Linked DNA regions of Mus musculus. The protein of the gene in region 2 interacts with the protein of the main gene of each other region in a biochemical or structural test. Links are inferred from orthologs where the notes say so. Each region holds a gene or a part of one and is shown on either strand. Other genes may lie near its edges.

What was found.
Region 1: the proteins of Tom1 (region 2) and Tollip form a complex in vitro, tested with the Homo sapiens proteins (3 studies listed by BioGRID and IntAct, with this or other methods). The link is inferred for Mus musculus from reciprocal best matches to the Homo sapiens genes TOM1 and TOLLIP.

The regions. Positions count from the first base shown.
Region 1 is NC_000073.6:141,878,263-141,889,216, reverse strand, and holds the end of Tollip (toll-interacting protein), read left to right. Parts: intron 1-4,635; coding exon 4,636-4,850; 3' UTR 4,851-7,637; downstream 7,638-10,954. UniProt on the Homo sapiens protein: Component of the signaling pathway of IL-1 and Toll-like receptors. Inhibits cell activation by microbial products. Recruits IRAK1 to the IL-1 receptor complex. Inhibits IRAK1 phosphorylation and kinase activity.
Region 2 is NC_000074.6:75,049,476-75,061,738, reverse strand, and holds part of Tom1 (target of Myb protein 1), read right to left. Parts: intron 11,550-12,263; coding exon 11,471-11,549; intron 10,232-11,470; coding exon 10,082-10,231; intron 9,817-10,081; coding exon 9,682-9,816; intron 9,590-9,681; coding exon 9,443-9,589; intron 7,163-9,442; coding exon 7,046-7,162; intron 4,585-7,045; coding exon 4,451-4,584; intron 3,299-4,450; coding exon 3,265-3,298; intron 2,927-3,264; coding exon 2,833-2,926; intron 2,551-2,832; coding exon of another isoform or gene 2,479-2,550; intron 1,307-2,478; coding exon 1,186-1,306; intron 1-1,185.

The DNA.
Region 1 (10,954 bases), on a different chromosome or scaffold from region 2:
CACTCACCCTGAGCACCTACATCTTAAAAGAAAATCATGGCTTTCATTGAAAGTATTTACCCATATAAATTAATAGCTGCTTGGGTCATAAAGTCAAGATGTGGCTTTTATGTATTTTTTTAAATTTCTAATCTTCCTGTGGCTTTCACAGTGCCTGGTATCCAACTCGTCCTCCTACCAGAATAGGGCAAGCCAGATGAGCAGATGAGATCACACAGCTCCTTTCTTGGCTTCAGCCAACAGGAAAAACTGTGGCTCTGAGAGTAGACATCAGGGCAGGCCTGTAGTCTCCCTAGTCTCTTGCTAGGGTCCAGGGAACTGTAGTCCAAGCAGACCATGCTAGTTCTGCTATCCCAATGGGAATGGCCAGTCTATAGGGCAGGAGGGAATATGAGATCCTGGATGGGACTTGGCCTGCATGGTCCCTGCTAGCAGGTGCTCAGGGTGAGTGTTGCCTTGTATCTAAGACAGCACAAAGCTGCTATGGCTCAGTGGTGTGGGGTCTGAGGGTCCCACACAGCCAGAATGGAGTGACTCATTAGCCTTTATTAGACTCAGCCTCTATGCCAGCTGAGCTAGGGAACATGGTGCAGGACTTGGGAATGAAATCCACCCACACATATCCTGAAAACAGGCCTGACAGACAGAACTTGGGCCTTCTACCTATGACAAATCATCCTGCAGGAACAAAGGGCAGCACTTTGCAAAGGGAAGGGAGGGTAAGTTCACAGGCTTCTAGGCCCCTGTAGTATTTGGAATGGAGTAGGTTTGCAGTAGAGGGCAAACCAGTCAAGTGGGGAGTGACCCAGGGCCTTAGAGAAACCTTAAAGCAGTGTGGTTGTTCCCCAAGAGCCTTAGAAATCTGGAGAGTGGAGTTTTAGGATGTGTGCTTTCTAGAGTCCCCAATACAAGGTCCTGACCTGTCCAGTTCAATGATCGGATCCTGAGGTATGAGGGTTGGGTTCCCAGAGTGGCTCCCAGGTTCCTTTTTGAACTGCAGTCCCATCAGTCTGTGTATGGAATTTGTGGAGGTCTGTGGAGGGAGAAGCAAGCGGAGTGAAATGAGCACAAAGGGTACCCCAGTGTAGCAGAGGCACTGGGGTCACAGATGGAACAATGCAGCAGAAGTCTCTTCCCTCAGTTTCTCAGGCCAGGAGTCAAACGGGCTGCAATCCTTTCTGAAGCTCCAGAGAGGGAACTTCTAACCTTTTCCAGATCTTGATGTGACTTGGTTTCTGGCCATATCTCCCTGGTCCGTCTTCATATTCTTGGAGTCACCACGCACTTTTTGTGTTTCTGTCCTGTAAGGTCACTGGACAGGGGCTTTTCTGCTCCTTCATGGTCTTATCCAAACAAGGTTGCCCTCTTTCTAAGTAAAGTCAATCTAGAGGCACTGGGGCGGGGGTGGGGTGGGGTGGGGGTGGTTTGCGGCAGACTTGAGCATATCTTTGGGTGGTGGTAGAGGGTGTTGAGGTGGGGAGCAACAAAGACAAATTTCTGTCCAGTTACAAACAGAAGAACTACTTCTAAACAAAAGATAAAAGCTGTTGACTAGTTTACTTTCTTGGCTCCTGTCCTTCATTCTCTGTAATGCCTCTAGAGTGTATTTTAGGGAAGGCTCCTCTATAAATAGGCTTTGATCCTCACTTTTGATGTACATTTTGAAAGTTAGAAATAGTTTCCTACTGATAGAAAAGCTGCCACAGAAATAAAAGGATATTTTTCCCTTGGAGACCAGCCTTGATGTCTGCTCTGTCCCCATGCAAGCATGCTTCCTGGAAGTGAGGACACTTCACAAGGGGACGTGCTGCGGACCACAGGGCTGGTGGTCTGGGTCTTCCCAGAACTTGTAACAGGCTCTGCCTGCAGTTATTTGTGCTGCCCTGTTCACTATCTGGCCAGGAGAACCCAGATGCTGCTTAGAAAGCTGTTCTCTTTCATTTCTGCTGCTCACACTGTAGTATTCGGTAAGGGGACACAGTTTGCCTTTTCATTCTCTTGAGAATCCTTTCGTATCACCTCGAGGACTGTGTTCAAGGTTACAGTTGCTGTCTGTTTTTGTCAGACTGAGCTGTCCACTGATAATTGTAGCAGTGTGGACTTGAGGATTGTTTTATTTTCTGAGCTCTTAATTTGTTACTATATTGTTTTGTCACTCAGTGATCCCAGATTGGCCAAGCCTTTAGGCTGAATTGTGTGCTTTTTGATGTCTCACATGCTGTGTGAGCTTCCTGACTTTGGCACAGGAAGCCTCTGGCTATCTTGTACATTTCCTTCTGCCCCAGAATTAGCCACTTCTCTCTGAACCCAGGGAGAATCAGTTCTAAAAAAGTTCTTGAATGGTTTTTTGTTTTTTATTTATCTTAATCATTGGGGGCATTAATAAGCATGTTACTTTGTTGAAACTTAATGCCCAGCTTTGGTTCTTATAATTCCTGTATGTTTATGATGGCAGAGCTGTCCTAGCAGAATACTTGGGGTATCCTGTGCAGAGACGATTAGGGTATGCCATCCGGTCGATGTGATGTGTCCACAGAAGCAGGAGCAGCAGTTCATTCAGGGCATTTTTATTCCTGTTGCTCTCAGGTTTCTCAGGAGTGAGGTCAAGTCACGTGGTGTTTCTTGCTTCATATCAGCTTCTGCTGCAGTTTGCTCTCTTGGGAAGATTCATACCCTTGACTATTCACAGTGTGACGTATGTGTACACAGACCATGCATGAAACAGGACTACACTCAAGCACAGTTAGACAGGAATGAGGAGACTCACACGTTAGCCTATTCTCACTGCCTGTTGGTCTACCCAGGGAACAATGCATAGCTAGTGGGTGCCTGCTGCTTTATAGACCCTGTTGTCTATGTCTGAGGTTTTGAATTGGAGATCACAGCTGCTGCTTTGCAGAGCTGAAGCTGAAGGTGGAGGATCAAGGGTTACCTGTGTGTTTATGAGTCCATTAGTTTGAGAGCTTGGAAATGTCCTGTAATATGCAGCCTGTCCCTGAGCTCCCTAGTCAGCATGGGTAGCCCCAGAAGTTTTTAGCTGTTGGTGTCAGTTCTGGGTTGTTGCAGCAAGGCCGTTTAGGACCCAGGCTGTCTGTACTGCCATGCTAAGCACCAGTTTTTCTTGAATGGAAAGCTCCTTTGCTTTTTTTTTCTGAGTGGCATCCTATTGGTGAAAAGGCTCTTGTTTTACTGACCTGTGTCTGCGTACTGTCTATAATGTGTGCATTGTAGCTAAGTGCCCTGCTATTGGGAATGAATTGGTCCTACTCTATCAGTTTGTGTCCATTTATGACAAGGCGTCAAAGGGTTATGCCATTGACTATGATTTGCTTCATGCTCTAGCAGAGGCATGATTTTGCCAGCAATAGATAGTTTCTTGTGTAGTGTTTACAACTCTGGAGACATTTCAAAAGGTATATAAGTGCTAGAGCCCCGAGAGGCAGGGTGGGTTGTTGTTTGTTGTTGTTTGTGTTTGGTTGTGGTTTGTATGTGCAAAGAAGAAACAAGAAGTAGTTAGATATGCTAATGGCAAAGATCAAACTTGCCCCAAGGATCTTGATGCCCCTAATCAGCATGAAGTAGTCTAATGATAAGCCCTCCCTCCTTTCTATCCTGTTTTTCTGTCCTATCTAGTGTTAGGAGTTCAAAAGGATGGAGAAAGGTAGAAGAAAGAAGAACCCACAAAGTAACAAATGCCAGCTACACCACTATCTGGTGACAACTTGTAAGGTGACAGACTGACGACAGCCTGTCTAGGTCAGTCAGGACAGAGACATGAAGGTGATGGCCTGGCCCAGAGGGTACTTAGGAAACCTGCCTCTGTTTCTCAATTTGTACCTCTTCATCTATCACAAGGTGCAGGGAGCCATGTAGCATCAGTGCTAAGCCCTTTGCCAGCAGCCTTTTTTGCTCTCATGGCAAAAGGATTAGCTCCCGTGCCCCACTGGGGGCCTTGGTACCTCAGGCTGCTGGAAAGTGATGTACTTTCTGATATGTATTGTCTTCATTGTGAAAGGCTAATATGCAGCTTTTCTTGAAGTTTTCAGGGAGTACTTTATGTAGCTATACCTTGCCATATGCATGACTATTGTAATGCCTTTGTTAGGCTGTGAAGGTGAATTCTAGAATCTTGACACAAGTGGACTTTGGAGTATTGGGTAAAACAAGCATACTAGTTTGTTGTCTGCATTCTCAGTAAAGACTCATGTCCGTGATGAGTCTCCTAAGTTCTTGAAGTAGCACATGTGGTTACCAAATTTTCATCTTGCTCCCTGTAATTTTTGACTAGATATATTCAACTTGAATTTTTGTTCAGAAAGAAAATACCTCAGGAGAGGGAGCCTCAGTAGTGAGGAGGATGGCCCATCCCATCTGTCATGGGCATCCCTGTGGGATCTGTTTTCCAGTCAGATTAAGGTAGCCTTTTCCCTTGAGGCCAGTGAGATGTATTATTTCTTCCTTTGGCACTGCAGCTTTGTGATCCCACTGTCTCTGTCCTGGAACTCACTCTGTAGACCAGGCTGGCCTTGAATTTAGAGACTCTCCTGTTGCCTTACAAGTACTGGGATTAAAGTCAGGCACCACAACACCTGGCTGAACCCACTCTTTTTAACCAACCTCAACTTTTGTTTTCAGGGATGCCTGCTGTCTGCAGCCCTGGCATGGTGCCGATGGCCATGCCCCCACCAGCTGTGGCTCCTCAGCCCCGCTGTAATGAAGAGGACCTCAAAGCTATCCAGGACATGTTTCCCAACATGGACAGGGAAGTAATCCGTTCTGTGCTTGAAGCCCAGAGAGGGAACAAAGATGCTGCCATCAATTCCTTGCTGCAAATGGGTGAAGAGTCCTAGACCCGCCTGTGGCCCTTGGCTTCACACCACTGACCCTTGGACTTGTCCACCCAGGGCTCCCCAGGGTCACCATCCCCACAAGATTCCAATGAAAGACCATCCACATACCCCTTCCTTGGACATCTGCGCCGCCCCTTCCTACATATTTCGGGGATGCATGTGGATTTTTGGTTCTAAGCAGGCAGTCCTCTTCATTGTTGCTGGGGGACAGAGTTAGGGGACAGTTCTCTCCTAGTCTCTAGCTGGGTGATGGTGGCATGGCCCTGTTATTGCACAGATCAGTGGTCCTGTTTGGGGACCTGCATCTCCTGTCCTCACCCTATTCTGGAAAGCATTCTTACAGAAAGCAACTGCCTCTGCCAAGATACTAGAAATTGTACAGCATCCTTCTGAGTTGATGGATGGATGGCATGGAGTTACTCAGTCCAGCTGGGATGGTTGTTGAGGGTGCACTGAGTTCATGTGCACTTACTTACAGGTTATTTTTAGAACTTTCAAGCTAAAAGCTCCTTCCCTCTTCTGATGTTGTATGTGAACATGGGCCCCTCAGCTAGTCCTGGCCAGTGAGATATGCTTCCCAGCCATATCCAGTGGGTCTCTAACCTCCTGTCTAGCTTATCTGCCACTGTCTGGCTAGGCTTCAGCCACAGAAATCCAACTTGAATACAGAAGGTATCCAGACCTGGTGCTTGGTTGGCCAGGCCCCACATTAGCCCTCACTGCTGGAGGCTGCTTTCCACATCCTCTTGTTTAGTACCAGCATCATGGGTCTTACTCCAGGGGCTGTTCTTGTTGATAGACCTTCATCACAGAGCCCAGAGTCAAGCGAAGGAGATGGGTGGGTGTGGCACTATGTGCTTACTACTAAAATTCAAGCATTGTGACACTACTGACCTGCAGTATACTCTGTGGACCCATACTGTAGCTTGGCTTGAGTGATAAAAATTCATGCTTAAATTAAACTTTCATAAAGGTAGAGGTGCCTGTACCTGACCAGTGGATATTGTATAGTGTATTTTAGGTTGCAAACCTTTGAGCCCGTGACCTGGCCATACATGTATTTAGGGAGAAATTGAGTGGTGCCTTGTGCTAAGATACAGACCGTGAAAGCTTTCTCAGAACCAGTACTGTCACAAGGTGCTGTTAGGAAGCTCCAGCATTGCCACAGGGTTATGGTGGGACAGTTTTGCCTTACATTGCCGTTACTTTTTGTTTTCTGAGAATCTGCACACCCGGTTTGGATATGTGATCCACCAATAAGGGCATGAAGGTGACTCCTAGCAGTTTGGACTGTTGTGAAGGACTTCAAATAAGAAAATTAGTGCTTCAGTTTTTGGTCTTTGCCTCCTAAAAACGCGGTAAAATATCCTACTTGCTGTTATCTACAGGGGTGCTTTTTGTCAAATGTATTGTTTATAAGTATTTATTTTTGTAAGCCTAAAGGCAGTATGTGGTGATGGTGAGCATGGGATGGTGGTAACAAGCACTTTTCTTTAGTTGTAGGTCTTTAAACCTTTTAACTGCAAAATGGAGAAGAAAGACCAATGTTTATTAAATAGATTCAACCACTTACTTTAACACAACCAGGCACTGGAAGCCTCCATTCTAGACTGTTGATCGGCCTTGTGCTTGGTAAGCAGATGCCCTCTTGCAGGGTGGATGAGTCAGGCAGGCAGAACCTCCTTAAGTGGTCCACTTAGTGTTACCAGCAGACTGCAGACACTGCAGAGCAGGAACCTCACTCAGTACCTGTCTCTAGGTCTCAGGTGTGGCGGCTGTGTGCATCCGCATCTGCCTTACGGAGGTATAGGTTGAACACAGGGCCACTTTGTTCTGTGAGGTTCTATAGGAAGCATCACGATTTGCTGCCAGCCCCTGAGCAGTCCCACAGCACTCAGAGGCAGCGTTCACTAACTTACGACTGCTTAAATGAGGAAGAGTGATGGTTTTAAGACAGATTTAAGACTTGAGCTGAACACAGACTCTTCCCTTTGTCATGAACATTTTATTTTTTTAATAGATTGAAGAAAGATCACATTTTATAAGGCCTGAGTGATACTCCTAGGTTTTGCTGTTTTTTTGTCTTGGAATTTCATGTCAGCGCCCATCTAGTGCAAGGAGAGAGGCAGCACTTGTCAGCGCCTGTGTAGGTACCAGGGCATCAGAGCATGGCTTGTTGGCTTCCATCCCATCCTGAATCTTGTTGAGATGAAGAGTCATCCCTAGAAGGAGCTCAGAGGCAGAGGCCACAGCCGAGTCAGACAGGCTTCTGCATGGGGACCAGGCTCTCACTGGGTGTAATTGCTGCTCTTGCCAAGTTTGAAGATTGATGTTGGTAGCAAAATTTCTCAAGGTGTTCACTGGAGCCCCCTCCCCTCGGGCCAGCTCTAGTGTAGGCATGCATCTAGGGATGGCCTGGCCTGTTTTCTTCTCTGGACATGTTGGTTGGCTGAAGTTGTAACCTGCTGCACGCTTGTGGGCTGACATGGCCAGAGGCTTTCATCTCACCATGTGAGTGATGCCTACCCGATGACAGAAGTGTTGTGCGACTGGGCTCTGCCCTCGCCCTCCCAGGCCACCCTTTACAGACACTGGTATCATCTGGTACACTGTCTGGAGGTTGGTGGGAATGGTTCTCAGAACTGTCTGTGATTATTTTGGGAATGGGGGGGTCCATGTCCATATTTTTCTTTGATTATATGATATATTTTTACTTTTCAGCCTTCTAATTTAATAAGTGGTCTATATAAAATAGAAAAATAAAGTCCTCTGAGGAAATGTTTACTATTTTTGTTCTTGAGTATTTTTTTAAACTTTTTATTAGTTCTTTGTGAGTTTCACACTGTGCACCCCAGCACCCCAATCCGAGTTATCTCCCTCTTCCCCCCCCCCCCCCAGTACCTGCCTTTCACCCTTGCAACCTCCTTCCCCAACAGAGGCGGAAAATATCTTGTTGTGGAAGCTGTAGTGTGTTCCACTGTGTTCCACAGTATATCCTTTTGTCTATGCTTCTTGCAGATGTTCATTGCAATGAGTCATTGGTCTAGTATGAGACCTCTGGCTTCTGCTACACCATCTATACTGGAGCCTCATTGGGACTCCTCTAGCCTTTCCTGTTGGTGCCCTGTGTCATGGAGATCCTGCAGCTTTGGATCTGTAGGACCAGCCCCTTCACACACTCCAGCAGTTTATCAAGCCCTAGCTCTGGGCCTGAGAAGGTACCTGAGCTGGGGACAGAGCCAGCTCTTCAGCTCTCATGCTCTTGGTTGGCTCATCCGTGTCTGCACTGTCAGGTCCAAATGTGTTGCCTGGGTGAGGCGCAGGGCCTGTTCTCCTGCTCTCTCTCCAGCCTGCTGTGGGTAGTTAGGGCGAGTGGAGAGGAAGAGACCTCTCCCTGATCCATGCCACCAAACAGGAAACAAATGGCAGGGCCACCTCTCCTATACTCATAACCCTGGGACTGAGTCACCTAAAACTCCCACCACCAGAGTCAGTTCTACTTTACTTTTTGTTTTCTAGGTGATGTTTAGGGCCTGTTTTTCCAAGTACTGCAGCTAGCTGAGGATAGGGGTGAGGGGTGAACTCTCCTGCTCTCACACCCCCAGGCTCTCCTATGATGCCCCCCCAAGGGTAGGGCCAGTTCTGCACAACCCTCAAACATCAACATGTCCCAAGGTATCAGCTCAGACCAGGGACTCCACCTGGCTTTTGATAGTAACAGACCCCTCCTGCTACTGCAGGGCCATGGAACCTGATGTGTCCATGAGTGACAGCATAGGCCAGGACTCTCCCATGATCCCAGATGGTATCACCAGTTGCTTGCATCAGGCTGTTCCTCACTACCCTTGAGTCTCCAGTTCTGCCTTTCTTTATTGTGCCTACATTCCTGTTTCTCTTCCATTTCTCTACCACTTGCTTGTTCCTCTTAGTGACACCCAAGGTTTCTGAGAGTCTGGGGTCAGCTTCCGGGTGGTTTCAGGAGTTCTATGCCCTGCCTGTGCATTATGGTACCAGACTGGTGGTCATCTCAGGCTAGCCCCCTGTCTGGGCCTAATAGTGCAATTCTAGTTGTGTTCTTAGTTCACTCCTTATCCGGGTCCACCTGTGTGGCCCTGTATAGGGGTTGTCTGTTTCAGACTCTCCTCCTGTTCCCTGTGGGCTCTGTTAGAAAAATATCCTGCTGGAGACTGTGTGGCCTGGCAGGAGGGAGCCAAAGAGTAGAAGAATCCTGTTTGGGGCCACAGCTGTAGTCAGGAGGGAGATGGGCACAGCGCTGGGCATATGTGGATGGATATTGGTCTGAAGCCTCAGGTACAAGATGATTGATGGCAGTCCTGCAGCCTTGACTCAAGAATGGGACTGTTGTCAAGCTGGGATGTTAAAAGAGTGTGGTGGTTTGAAATGCTTGGCCCAGGGAGTGGCACTATTAGGAGGTGTGACTTTGTTAGAAGTATGTCACTGTGGGGTAGGCTTGGAGACCCTCCTAGCTGCCTTGAAGTCAATCTTCTGAGTATCTTCAGATCAAGATGTAGAACTCTCAGCTCCTCCAGCACCATGTCTGCCTGGACTGCTATGTTTCCCACCTTGATGATTAATAATGGACTGAATCTCTGAACCTGAAAGCCAGCTCCGATTAAATGTTGTCTTATATAAATGAGTTGCCTTGGCCATGGTGTCTGTTCACAGCAGTAAAACCCTAACTAAGACAAAGAGTTAAGATTTTCATCCCCAGCTCCAGTTAGGAAAAAGCTGACCTGACAGAGACAAGAAGGCAAGGGATGAGCTACAGGAATTCATGATTCAGTTACTCCCTGCTGTCTTAGTTTGTGGTCCACAGTCAGGTAGTCCAGATTCTGGGGCATGCAGGAATAAAAGCATTCCTTCTGGAAAAGCAGGTGATGATGCAGGCCTACCAGCATCCAATGGCAACCACATGTAAATGCAATGAAAAGTTAAGAACACTGAGAAGTGAGCTGTCTGCTGGGACCAGCAGAAGCAGTAATGCCCCAGCCGTAATGCCCCAGAAGCCTTGCTGGGACATGTGTGCAGTTTTGTTTTGTTTTTTCTTTTAAAGGCTTTAAAAACAAGATAAAACAACATTGCAAGCAAAAATCAACAGACTGCTAAAAGCACACAATAGTGGCAAGAACTGAGTTGAATATTGAGATTGAGAGGTTAAAAACTAAGCCTTAAGATGAACTTTTTAAAAATTGGTTATTTAGTGTATTTATATTTCAAATGTTGTCCCCCTTCCTGGTTTTCCCTCTGCAAATCCTTTATCCTGTTGCCTTCCCCCTTGCTTCTATGAGGCTCAGCATGTGGGGGCAAAGTCCCCTAAGGAAGTTCCTCCCAGGTGTGAACCAGGAAAGAAAGTACAAGGGACCAGGTAGTACATGAACATATGGGGACTCAGCGACTCAGCTCTCTGTGAGGGTCCTTAGCAGGCTGTCTTGCAGTTAGCGCTCTTGGAACACATGGCTTTACTGGGGTTTATCTAGTCACTGCATGTAAACCATTTGAACTCACTTCATCTTTCTACAGGCTGTGTATTTGGTGACCCAGGTATATTTGTTGAGGTTGGTTGTCAAATAGTCCTCGGCTTTACTTTTGGTTTTGTTCTATATTATGTGAACAATTTGATTCAGAAACAAAGTGTAAAACAGAGTGGGCTCAGAGAGATTGAATTTTCCACAGTGCTCCTCCAGGCTATACCCTGCGGTCGATAGGTGCCCAAGTCAGCGCTGTTTTGTCTGTCTCTCCTTGACTCAGTGTATGCTGAGTATCTGCAGCCACACAGATCTCAGTCTCTTTCCCCTCTTCTGCCTGTCTTACTTAGGTGCCCAGAAGACCCCAGCTGCCACACAGCCTTCTTTCAGGTGCCACTCACACCACTGGAGTGTCTCTTCTAGGGACTTTTCAGTTGTTCCTAGTGTGACTGGGACAGATCTCTGGATGACAAGATACTAAGCGCAGGATAAAGTCTAGGATGGGCATACCTCTCAGGTCCTGTTGCTCCCTGATGGGCTCCTGCAGTTCAGCTGTCAGCTGAGTTTCTCTAACCTGGAGCAAGCCTGAGCAGGTTCTGTGCATCTGAGGAACATTTG
Region 2 (12,263 bases):
TTGTACACTGGTGCCTATGTGGACACTCCATCCTCCTGAGTGTGGGTCCCACTAGACTCATTAGCTTTCATCTGCACAGCAGCCTCAGCAGCATCCTTAATACCATGGCTATCGTAAGCTGCTAGGCCAGAGGCCTCTGGGCTGGGGAGTACAGACTGCTGAGGGAAAAGACAAACCTGGTTTACAGCTTAGTGTGGAACTGGCTGGCTGCAGACTGCGTCAGATTGTACCTGAATCTGTAGTGTGAGGAAAACCAAAGGCCTAAGGGGGCTCAGGGAAGTTACACCAGTCAAAGGGAAGAACTGTTGTGTGATCTTCTCAGCATCTGCTCCTATACACAGACATGTGCCTGTGAAGGGCTAGAGCTCAGCTCATCTGCCTTGCCTCCAAGCCTTCACATTCCTGTTCCTAGAACCTGAAATGCTTCCTAAACCCCAGTCTGGCCTAAATCCTCTCTGGCCAGTTTCTACTGTCCAATAACCAAGTTGTCAAAGAAAGAATAGGCACTAAGACACTAAGTGGGAACAGCTAGGAGGCTTTTTTAATCTAGAACTTTCCTTGGCTGTAAGAACCATAGCTTCCACATAGCTGAGCCAACAGGGTTACAAGCAAAGGGATGAAAAATATCAGCTAAGCTATTTCCTTGACGAGCACATGAGGAGCTAGTATGAGATCTGCCAGAGCAGGGAGTGCCTTTGGAGGCCTGCTCCATTACAGGGTCTGACTGATGACAACAGCTCTCTGAAAATGGACAGCTCACAGGGAAGGCTTTACCCCAGTGCAGCCGGAGTCTTCTCTAGGGATGAAGGATGGTTATGAGACAATAGTCAAAACCTAGAAGTCACTAAGGCTTTCTTAGGAGCCTTCCTTGCCCCTGGGGGCTTGGTACTGGCTGCACATTATGGAAGATGGTGGGCCAGCCAGACAAAATGTTACGTAGAAGTGGTCAGAGGCTCCCAACCTTCCAATCCCTCAGAGGTTTGCTTCTGGTTCTGGTCAGATGTTGGTATCCCTTCCTGTCCCTGAACCACAGTGTTATCCAGGCCATGCTGGACTGAACTTAGGGACTGTGCGTCTTTTCTCCTGCCCTGCCCATTTCCATTCCAGATTCAGGGATCTCAAGAGATGCTCTTGTCAACAGAGAGCCCTCCCCCTCAGGAGAGCAGGATGGAACAGGTAACTCACCCTTTCCGTTGGTCAGCCAGTGAGCTGCCCCGAGTCAGAGCAAACATGTCAAAGTCATCTTCCAGGTGACCTGAGGTCTCCAGAGACTGCAGGCCAGCTCTCACACTTCTGGAGCCAAGGTCTGCAGAGACAGAAGGGCCAGGCAAGAGGCCTGCTGTTCCATTTGCTCTTCCCATGTTCCATCTGGGACTAGGGCTGCTTGCTTGAAGAGCATTAGGGGTGAGGTGGAGGGATTTGGATGGGAAGCCGACTACTGCCCGAGAGCAGTAGGAAGCCCTTCATTTCTGCTGAGTGTGCTCACTTCTAAAGTGGTACCACAGCCGCCTCCTCCCGCTGTGGTGAGGATTAGAAAACAGGAAATCCCTGCCTGTATCACCTGCTAGAGCAGTGGTTCTCAACCCGTGGATCGAATGACCCTTTCACAGGGTTGCATATCAGACATTTACATTATAATTCATAACAGTAGCATAATTACAGTTATGAATTATCAATGAAAATAACTTTATGGTTGGGGGTCACCATAGCATGAGGAACCGTGTTAAAGCATTAGGAAGGTTGAGAACCACTGAGCTAATGGAAGAGGCTGAGCAGCAGAACAGTGCTCAGATCCGACTGCTCACACATGTGGGAGCAGAATGCATTTCTGGGGTTTGGCGTGGAGCAGGCAGTCAATAATATTAAACTCAATTGTAAGCAGACCTTGTGGTGCCAGCCTGTAAGCCCAGCTCCAGGGGAGACTGAGAATAGCCTAGGTTACTAAGCACATTCAAGGACAGTTTGGGGAAATTTGTGAGGCCCTATCTCAAAATTAAAGGGTTGGAATATAGTTCAGTGGTAAAGCACTTGTTTAGCTTGAGGCTTAATCCCCAGCACAAAACAAAACACCCAAAATAAACAACAACAACAACAGCAGCAGCAGTAGCAGCCCAGGAACAACAAAAAAGATAATGACTGCTAATATTACAGGTATACCCACCTGTAATCTCAGGTTTTGGGAGACTGAGGCAGGAGGATGGAGAAAGTTTGAGGCCTACCTAGACAGGCTACTGAGCACTTAGCAACAACCTGGATCAAAAGCCAGCAAAATCAAATCAAACCTAAATTATCTATTTTTTTTTCCCCAGAACAAAGCACCAAAGGAAACCAAGCTGGAGTTTAACTCAGTGGCAAAAATATTGTCTAGCATGGCCAAGGTCCCGAGTTCTATCCTGCAGTGTCACCGGAACGGAGCGCCTTCTGGCCTCGCCCTGATAGAAGCCGCTTTCTGGCAGTTTCTTGCTCTATTCTTCCAACCTTGAAGAGGGGCCCATTCCTTCTTTCCTTCTTCAAGTAGGAAGTGATTACTGAGGCTGAGCAGTCGATTGTCTGATGGTCCCCAGGATGTTCAGGTGGGGTGGATGGAGGGGATGGGGAGGCAGGGCAGAGGGATGGTTAGAGTGCAGTGGGATTTATATTATCCAAGGGGCTCAGGGACATTGGTACTCCCAGGGCATTCTCACAAGTTTTGCCCAATCCTGTAGCAAGATTTGGCTTGGGATCCCAGCAAAGTAAGATGTGGACCAATGCTCTGCTGTTGGCGAGCACAGGAACTTTGAAGCTACCCACACATTGAAACATACCCTTGGCTGGAGTCCCCAGCATACTTACTCATTCCTGCCAGTTGAGATGAGAGGTTGTTTGTGGCTGCGGGGTCAGGACCCATGTCAATCAGGTCAGTAGCTAGCTCAGCTTCACTGGAGGCCTGAGGTGAGGGGAGATGCCTGGATGAACCTTTCAGGATGCAGAGATCTGCCTCCAGGCCCCAACATGTCTGAATGGGAGCTGGGGACTTTCTCCTCCACCTGGGCTCCAGCTCAGCTACACCCCTGGGAGGCTGGGAAGGCCCTGAGGTACAAACTGGTGGTGGCAGAGCCTTATTTCCCTTAAAGGGATAGTGGTGTAAGAAGTCAGAGACTTCCCTATGAGCCTAAAAAGAAGCACCAGTATCCTTTACAAGGAAGGCATCAGGGAGACGGTGAGAACTTCCCTCTCACTTCTATCAATAAAGCATGACACAGTCCCACAAGAGTTGCCTCTTACCTTAGCAGTCTGGCCTGTTCGGAAGCGTTCAAACCTACAAGACAGAAAATACCCCAGTCAAAAAGAACAGATGGACACAGTTCCCAGAGGACCCCAGATCATTACCAGGATGAGGAGATAACTGGTCTACCCTCACAGATGCAGCGCATGCTCGCTGTTCTCATGCTATCACTAGCAGAGCCCCTGTTTCGCTTGCACAGGGCTGGGAGGCATTTGATCACTCATAGGAACACTTTGCAATGGTCAGCAAGAAACAAGGTCACAGGAACACAAAAGAAAGGGACACTCAGCAAGCAGAGTTGAGCACTGCTTTGTCAACTGTCTAGTTACTTACTCTACATTTGAGAATGTATGGTTGGCTCTCAAAGATGGCCACTTGTCTCTAACCCTGACTACTTAGGGGCCAGGGGCTAGGGAGGTAGGTGGAGAAGACCTTAGTGACCAGCCTGTTGGAGTTCTGGCCTGGTATAAAGGACATCACTTTTGAATTCATTTTCTGTTCTAATGTCTCTGGGCACCTGCCTGCTAGCTGAGGTGATGACTGAGTTGAGGCACTGAGTAGCAGTTGGCTGGCACCAGAACAAACTGGTAAATTAGGGGCCTGATGCTAGAGAACTGGGGGACTACCACACAGTGCACCTCAAGATGGCAAAGAAGGAGCGGGGCGGTGGTGGCGCACCCCTTTAATCCCAGCACTTGGGAGGCAGAGGCAGGTGGATTTCTGAGTTCGAGGCCAGCCTGGTCTACAAAGTGAGTACCTGGACAGTCAGGGCTACACAGAGAAACCCTGTCTCAAAAACAAAACAAAACAAAACAAAACAAAACAAAACAAACAAACAAACAAAACAAGATGGCAAGGAGGAGAGGATGTGCATCCTCTTGGGCTAGTGAACAGGAAAAACTGGCCAACTGTTGCCCTCAGGGGCCCAGCCCCTCTCGACTGACTGCAAACCACACAGCAAGTGGGGAACACACAATAGACACAAGGAGTGGGAGGTGGCTAGATAATAACCATTTCTAGAGCAGAGCACTTTGCTTCCTGCTTTTATGACTACCCACTACCCAAGCAGCTCAGTGACGGGGAGAGAGCTGGGGGCTCTGGTAGCTTGCTGATGTCTGAAAAGGGCACAGGGAAAATGACTGAGTAGCCGAGGCCACGGCCCAGGTGAAGGTGTGGCAGGACTACCGTTCATGGCGCAGAAACACGTTGTTGAGGTTGTCGTTGATCATGAGCAGCTCCTCCGTCAGCTGCTCATTGGAGATGCGTGGGATAAGCTCCAGGATCCGCTGCTGCATGGCACGGCAGGTGCGGTTCAGTTCCTACGGGGAGGAGCGAGACATTGAGGCCACACGAAGGACAAGGCTACTCCTCATCAACAGTCCTGGAAGAGGGGTCTTCATGGCTCCACAAGCCTGTTCTCAAGATCACTGCTCAGGTGCTGCAGTGTGGTTACAGTCTTTGAGTTGTGAGATGGGCTCTCACTGTCCCCTAGGCTTGGCCTCAGGTGACCCACAACTTCTGGAGTAGCTGGAAGTGTTAGGCTTCACAATAACATGTAAAGTACCGGACTGAGTCCTGATAATGACTGTGCTGCTTTAACAGGACTGTGTGCAGACTGCAGAGTCAAGTTTTAGCCACCACGTTTGCTTACTTAGAAAAACCTCAGCCTCCTGGACCAGCCAGTCTGGCCCATGTGGTAAGTAGCACAAACAGGAGAGACACTGCCTCAAACAGAGTTGAAGGAGAGAGCTGGCTCCCTAAGGCTGATCTCTTACTTCGATAGCAAGCTGTAGTATTGCCATGTCTCACTCACACACACACCACAGTCACAGATGCACACCTAAGGGGAAAACAGAAGAGTGAGGAGGGTGAGGAGGATGACGGACCTGAGGATGGGGTCGGGTGTGAACACGTTTAACTTCTCTGTTACTTCACACAAGCTTTTGCCCCACTTTTCTCATGGATTGGCTTTTTTCTCTTTTAGTAAAACTTATTTTGGAACAATCTTTCAGATTTATTGAAGAGCTGCAATATGGCACCAAGGTTCTCATGTGCCTTTACCCAGTTTGACATTTGTCAAAACCAAGGCATCAACACTGAAATCAACTAAACTACGTTTCCTGCTAATATCTTTTTGTTTCCTGTTTCTAGATCCTACATGTATTTAGGCACCATGTTACTGATTGGGTTTTAATCACAGTTAAACTTGTTTTGGAAAAAAGAAAAAGATTAAGAGGTTGGGTGTTATGCTATGAATCTGTGACCCGTATAGTCAGGGACTGAGACAGGGGGATGGAGAATGTGCAGGACCAGGCTTGGCTGCATCATGAGACCTTTACTAAAAAATAAGTAAGTAAAATAAACCTCCTTTGGTCTACAGGCAACTGTAGGGAGACTGGTCACCTTTTCTCCAGCACCTGCCATGGATATGCCAGCACACTTTCTCTTGTAGCATCAAAGATGAGGCACTTCACCAAGCTCTGTCTTTTCATGGACCTTGTTCCCCACCCACCCCACCCAGGCCTCCTGGGGTTTCTTCATCTGCACAGGGAGTCTTTCAACATCTCTGGCCTCCCCTTCTCTTCCTCCTATGATGAAGTATAACTGACATTAGTTTCTGCTTCCTCATCGGTCCCTCTGGACACAAGAAGAGCCTAGACTGAAGTCGTTGCTACAAGTCACAAACCCTGGATTTGCTACCTACCAGCCACAGTAACCACAGGCATGTTACAGTCTCTTTGCCTTAGTTTCCTGATCTGGAGAATGGGTTTGTTTAGGCTATGAATGAATGTATATCAAGCACCTACATTGAGCTTGATACAAAGAGTACTCATTATGTGGGCACTGACTCTGTGTCACCTTGACAGCTGGCTCCAGCCTTCTGAGTATCCCAGACTACTCATATCTGCATGGACTTGGCTTGGGACATATAACACTATAACAACTCTTAGTCAACCTCCTTTCTTCATCTAGTTCTCACACTCAAAGAGTCCACTCAGCTAAGATACTCCTACTTTATTCCCCCACCCCCAAATATAAGGATCTCTGAGCAGTCACAGGGGCATAAAGACCTGGCTTCAAAACTGCTCTCTGAGGGTTGGTGGGAGGGCGATACAGACAGCACACAGAGCATTCTGCACACAGAGCATTCTGTCCTTCTACACATTCTGGAGACTCTGGCTTTGTCAGTTCCTGACTTTCTCACTGCCTTCCTCAGTGTCCCCTACAGGAAGGCTGCCTAAACCCCCCTCAGTCCTGCGCCCCACTCCATATGAAGACAGGATCAGGTGACTATCATATGACACCCAGGAGCAAAATCCAGCATTTCCCACTGGCCTCAGCTCCCCAAGACTGGATGGATGGTCACTCCTCTCAAAGCCCACACTGCTTTTTCCCTCCTGTTTGCCACCGCCAACACTGTGACGGGTGGGAATCGGCCCTTCTGGCTTTTCCCAGTGTTGTCTGTGCTCACCAGTACTGGGCGGAGGAGTAGATGCTTCACATGTACTATCTCCTTTAACTCTCATGTCCTGCTTGTATCAAAGCAGCCACACAGATGGAGAAAACGAGGGGTGGTTTTGTTCAAGTCATAAAGCAGCAGAATTAAGATGTGAATTCCTGTCTGATGCAAATCCCAGGTTCCTGGTTGTAATGTTTTCTATTGCCTGAGAGCTCCCAGCAAAAACAAAGGACTGCAATGTAGACAGGGAGGAAACAGGTGTGGCTGCACACAGGGTCACTTTGGTGGGGGCTGAACCTGGAGGCAGGCTGTTTGCTCACCTGTAGTAGCTCCAGGTCTGCAGGCTCTACCTGGGTGGGCACCAGCTCTGTCAGCATCTCTGACATCACTCGCACGTTTCCGCTCACCATCTCCAGCTCACTGCGCAGCTTCCCAATCTGAAATGCACCATTGTAAGGGGGAGAAAAGCCAGAGTCTAGAGCCCATGCCTCCTCCAGTCGTGTGGCCCAGGCACTATTCAGCCAACACTTTCTCCACACAGCTTCCCTCCTGACTCCTGCGGATCAAGAGCCTGCAGAAGCTTCCTCCCACTTCACAGCCCCTCACAGAGGTGCTACCAACCGCTGCCATCTCCCAACCAGGAGCCAGGAACAGAGGCAAGTTGAAAGTCGTGTGACAATCGGAGGGGAATAGCCAGTGAGGGTGGTTGGAAGAGTGCCAGCATCTCTTGGGGCCAAGATGGCAATTAATGAGGCCCTAGGGATGGTTCTCCTAAGGATTAGGAAGGCAGGTTGCAGAGTCCCCTTATGCCTGGGAGGACAGAGTAGGTTTTGTCTGTGTCTTTACCTTCAGATTCTTTAGGGCCCAGGTTTATCCAAAAGTAAGCGCAAGGCCTGATACCCATGTGAATTAGTACCAGTGATCGAAAAGAGCCAAGGTTCACAATGATGGTGGTCAGTGTCCTCAAACAGATGAGGTGTGAGGGCCACTCTGCAGTGTCTTTTATGAACTCGGAGGACACTGTGTTCACTTTGAATACTGAGAAGCAGATGAAGCACTGCTCCCTACCCCCACCCCCCAGATGTACCTGGCTGAAGAATCCTCTTATAATGGGATGGCTCATAAATCTAGTGGCTAGGAGACTACATTTGGGGAAATACTGGTATATTCTAAATTGTGTGATTGAGTGACAATAAACTTCAGAATTTAAATTCATGACTGTGACAGCAGCTCCCATTTCCTGACTAGTTAATAAGCGCCAAGCACTGAACATGCGCCATCACAGGTGGGCTAACTTTATGGAGCTCAGGGATGAAGAAACAGGCACGCAGGGACAAGCACCATCCATGCCCATTGAAGCTGACCAAGAGCACACCCCACAGTGCCAGGCACAACGGCTTGTTTAATAACTCCTGGTGTGAGTGAACAAGCTGCTCATCACCAGCTTGCCATCCAAACCCAAAGGGATCTAACCACAAAGGAGCCTAGGAATTACATCACCACACCACAGCATCCTAACACGCCCAAGAGGCCAAAGGGGCTATGAAATCAAACAAGAATACTCAGTTTTACTTAGTAAGAACCTTCTAGCACTAATTAGTCTTAATATACAGACTTTAGAAAAACTAGTTAAAATCAGAAACAAGATAGATACTTGTTTTGGATTTTAGAGTAATTTTACAATTTTGTAGACTTTACATGCTCAGAGAGCCAGCCTGCTCTCGTCATGTTTGTGGTGGTACAGTTTCATAACGTGGTATAAGACAGCACCAAGCTTCTCTTTGTTGGGCTGAGACCATGCACTATACACAAGTGGTCAGGGAACAGTTCTTGGGAATTAAGTGTTTCTCATTTGTATCATGTTTGTGAATCTTTACTTCCAGCTAAGTCTTTATACTTCACTGGTGATGGTCTAAGGTCTGAGAAGGCCTCAAGCCCAGCTCAGTACCACACCTCAAATGACCAATAATCTAGATTACAGCCACCTGGTCTGAAGTTGGTAATACTCTAGAGCTAGCCATAGGCTAGAGAAACTTCCCCAGAATCTCAAGCTAAGCTTCTAAGCTTCCTCATGAGGAATTGTGGGAGGCCTCAGTGGAGTACAAATAAAATTTCTCATTTTGTGAAGATGCAGATCTCTCTTCCTCACCCACCTTCTTTCTATGACAAGAGTTTCACTATGCATCCCTAGCTAGCCTGAAAGTCTCCATGTAGATCAGAGGCTCTGAACTCACACACATCCACTTACCTCTGTCTCTCAAGTGCTGGGATTAGAGGCATGCCACCAACCCCAGCAAGCATACAGATCTTTTATGGTTGTCTTCAACTTGAATCTCAATTCAGATGAAACTCTATGTGAGCCTACTAGCACATAGATAAAGTGGAGAGGCCCAAGTGGAAGGGAACACCTGCCTGTTGGCCATTTCCTCCCCACAGTGCTCCACAAAGGGCTCCATGGAGGGAAGACTTTGGAAAATGACAGTAGTATTGAACTGCATTCTAGAAGTCAGAGAGACTGGAACTTGAATCTCAGTAGATTCTGATGAGCTGTGTGATTCTGAGTTGGTGGATTTGCCTGTCTGAGCCTTATCCGGACCATAGGATGAACAGTACACATCTATGGGCTGCTGAGAAGACAAAGGAGTTTCCACAATGCTAGGGGCCATCTCTGACACCTCCCTGGATCTTCTGGTTCTGCCACAGGCTTGTCTGTTTACCTGCTCAGGAGTCGGTGTGATGGGTGAGTCACCCGGGAGAACAGCTGGAGTGGGCAGAGGGGTGGCATGCTGGCTCAGGTCTCCACGCTGACTGGTGTTGGAACTCACAGAGTTCTGTCTGGATGGTGTCTCTGAGTTGAATACAGTCTAAGGGGCAAAAGACAGGGTGAGTGAGGCTTCCTGGAAAGGCACTGTAGCCCCCTCAGGATAATTCTCATCTCACCCAAAATTCTCCTTACTCTCTGGGGTGTGTGGATGGGCGACAGCATGTCCAGGTCAGTCATGGGAAATTCTAGGCCCTTCCTTCGCAGGTCCTCGTAGACAGCAACAACACCTGTCAAATCAGGTGAGCTGCGGAACGCGTCAGCCCAGGACTGAGAGGGGACAAGGGGACATTGCCTGTAACCACTGCTCACCTTCTTTTCTGTGAGCCTGCCCGACCCTGGCACCTAGACAGAGGACAGAGTGCTTTCCTCCTCTTCCTCCTGTTGCCTGGTCCTCTAACCCCGTGTACCAGGCTCAGCACACAGTGATAAGTCCTGCTGCACACGTAAGCAGCTCACTAGCAGAGTAGAATAGCCCCAGAATTCCCCCACCCCTTGAGGCCACCGATACACCCTACCCTGCCAAAGAGCACACCTGGATGAGGTTCAACACCTTGTCATGCACAATGGTGGGTGGATTGTTCTTCGGCAGGATGGTCCTCACCAGCACATTCTCTACAAAGTCCTGGTTGGCCACCAGTACATGGAAGCGGTGCCCACAGTTCTTAACACATGTTTCCAAGACCTGTAGGTCAAGGTGCCCAAGAGAATGCCCCATCAGGGAAGGGAAGCCCAGCAGAAGACAGGAGGCTTCCAGAAGGGAGCCCCTAGGACATAAGAATGGAAACGGTGATGGATTTGGAGGCTTGCCTCCTAGGGGACTGGGACATGACAGGACAGACAAGACTCCCTTCCTACTAGGCCAGTGCCTATAACCTAACCCTGGTTTCTAGTTCACATCGTCTAGAGCAGTGGTTCTCTATCTTCTTAATGCTTTGACCTTTTGACATAGTTCCTCATGTGGTGGTGACCCCTCAACCATAAAATTATTTTTGTTGCTACTTCATAACTGTAATTTTGCTACTGTTATTTTTGTTTTGTTTTGTTTTATTTTATTTTATTTTTTTTTTGTTTTTTTGAGACAGGGTTTCTCTGTGTAGCCCTGGCTGTCCTGGATCTCACTTTGTAGACCAGGCTAGCCTCAAACTCAGAAATCCGCCTGCCTCTGCCTCCCGAGTGCTGGGATTAAAGGCCTGTGACACCACGCCCGGAGCTACTGTTATCTTAATGAATCTTAATGTAAACATCTGATATGCAGGATATCTGATATGTGACCCTGGTAAAAGTCATTTGACCCCCAAAGGGGTTGTGACCCATACATTTCGAAACACTGGTATGGAAGCTTAGAGATTCAGGAGGAAGCAGATACAACTTAGGTTGGTAACATCATGACCCAGGGACCAAGCACTGACCTCTTCCCAAGGCCTAGCAGAAGCTGCTTGTGCTTTGCAGGGTCGCAGGGCCATCTGGATCTAGGCACTACCGTGTAGAGGCTGGGATAGGGTGTTCTCCTGCCTATTTTCCAGCCATGTTGCTCTGAAGACAGGATGTCTGATGCTTGGCCCATGCTGGCCTGTCTTAGTACTGAGGTCAACACTGTTCTTAGACACAGGCATTTGTTTTACGTTCATTTTTTAGGGTGCAGTTTTAGAGGAAAGTGGCCCCAGTGTATCTACTCCCCATGTTAAGGCTGGAAATTTCCTTTCTAGCTCCCTTGCTTTGTCATCCACCTTCACCAACAGTGTGAACAGGAAAACAATTTGCCCATGGTCACTTTCTTCTGAGTCTTCAGGTGAGAAACCCAAGCATGGATGGGAATCCTGCTGGACCTAACTAAGGAGAAGCAGCTTTCAGCAGACCACGGTCCAGCCATGGAAGAGATCATGGAGAGATGGACAGATGAGAGAGGCAGCAGGATATTCACCGTAAGGGCCAGCATGACCTCATGGAAATTCTTATTCCCCATAATTCGCTTCTTCACTGCTCGGAAGGCATCTTTGGGGCTGGCAAAAAGGACAAAAGGAAGGATGGGCTTAGGTTTAGAAATTTCTTCCCCAGCACAGAAGGCCAGGGGCCCAAGATCAGGAGAGTGAACACAGCCTGTACTCAGAGCACCTCAGACGGCTCCCTGTCTTTCCCTGGCCAGTTCCAGCGGCAGCTGGCTTCAGTTCTTGGTGGCAGTACTGTTATATGGTTTAGACCCTGAATTTTCAGCAGCACAGTGGCACTCTTGAGACATGTTGAGGTGGGCTTAGGTTGAGGCTACAGTTCAATGGCACTGCATGTCTGGCATGTGCAAGGCCCTGGATTGGGGTGGGGTTAGGAGAAGAGCTGGACTCTGCTGGATGCTCTTTTTGTCAGAGATGTGAATTTGAAGGGCACTATGGAACTCTGTCCCTGTCACTTTTTTGTTCCCTGGCCATGTAGTGAGTGGGCTCGTCACACATTCCTCATGATGTGCACAATTAAGACTGAGACAAAATAAAAACTTCTGCTTTAGCTCCACAAACCAAACCAAACCAAACCAAACCAAACCAAACCAAACCAAACCAAAAGTGAGATAAAAAATTTCTCTTTACAAGCAAATCATCTCAAGGGCATTGTTATAAAAAGCTGACTGGCTTGTGGACTACTTTAGTGTTTGAAAGGGACTGAAGTGGCCTGGAGAAAAGGGGACAGCACTAGCAGTAGACTATGTACTGCACACACATGGACAA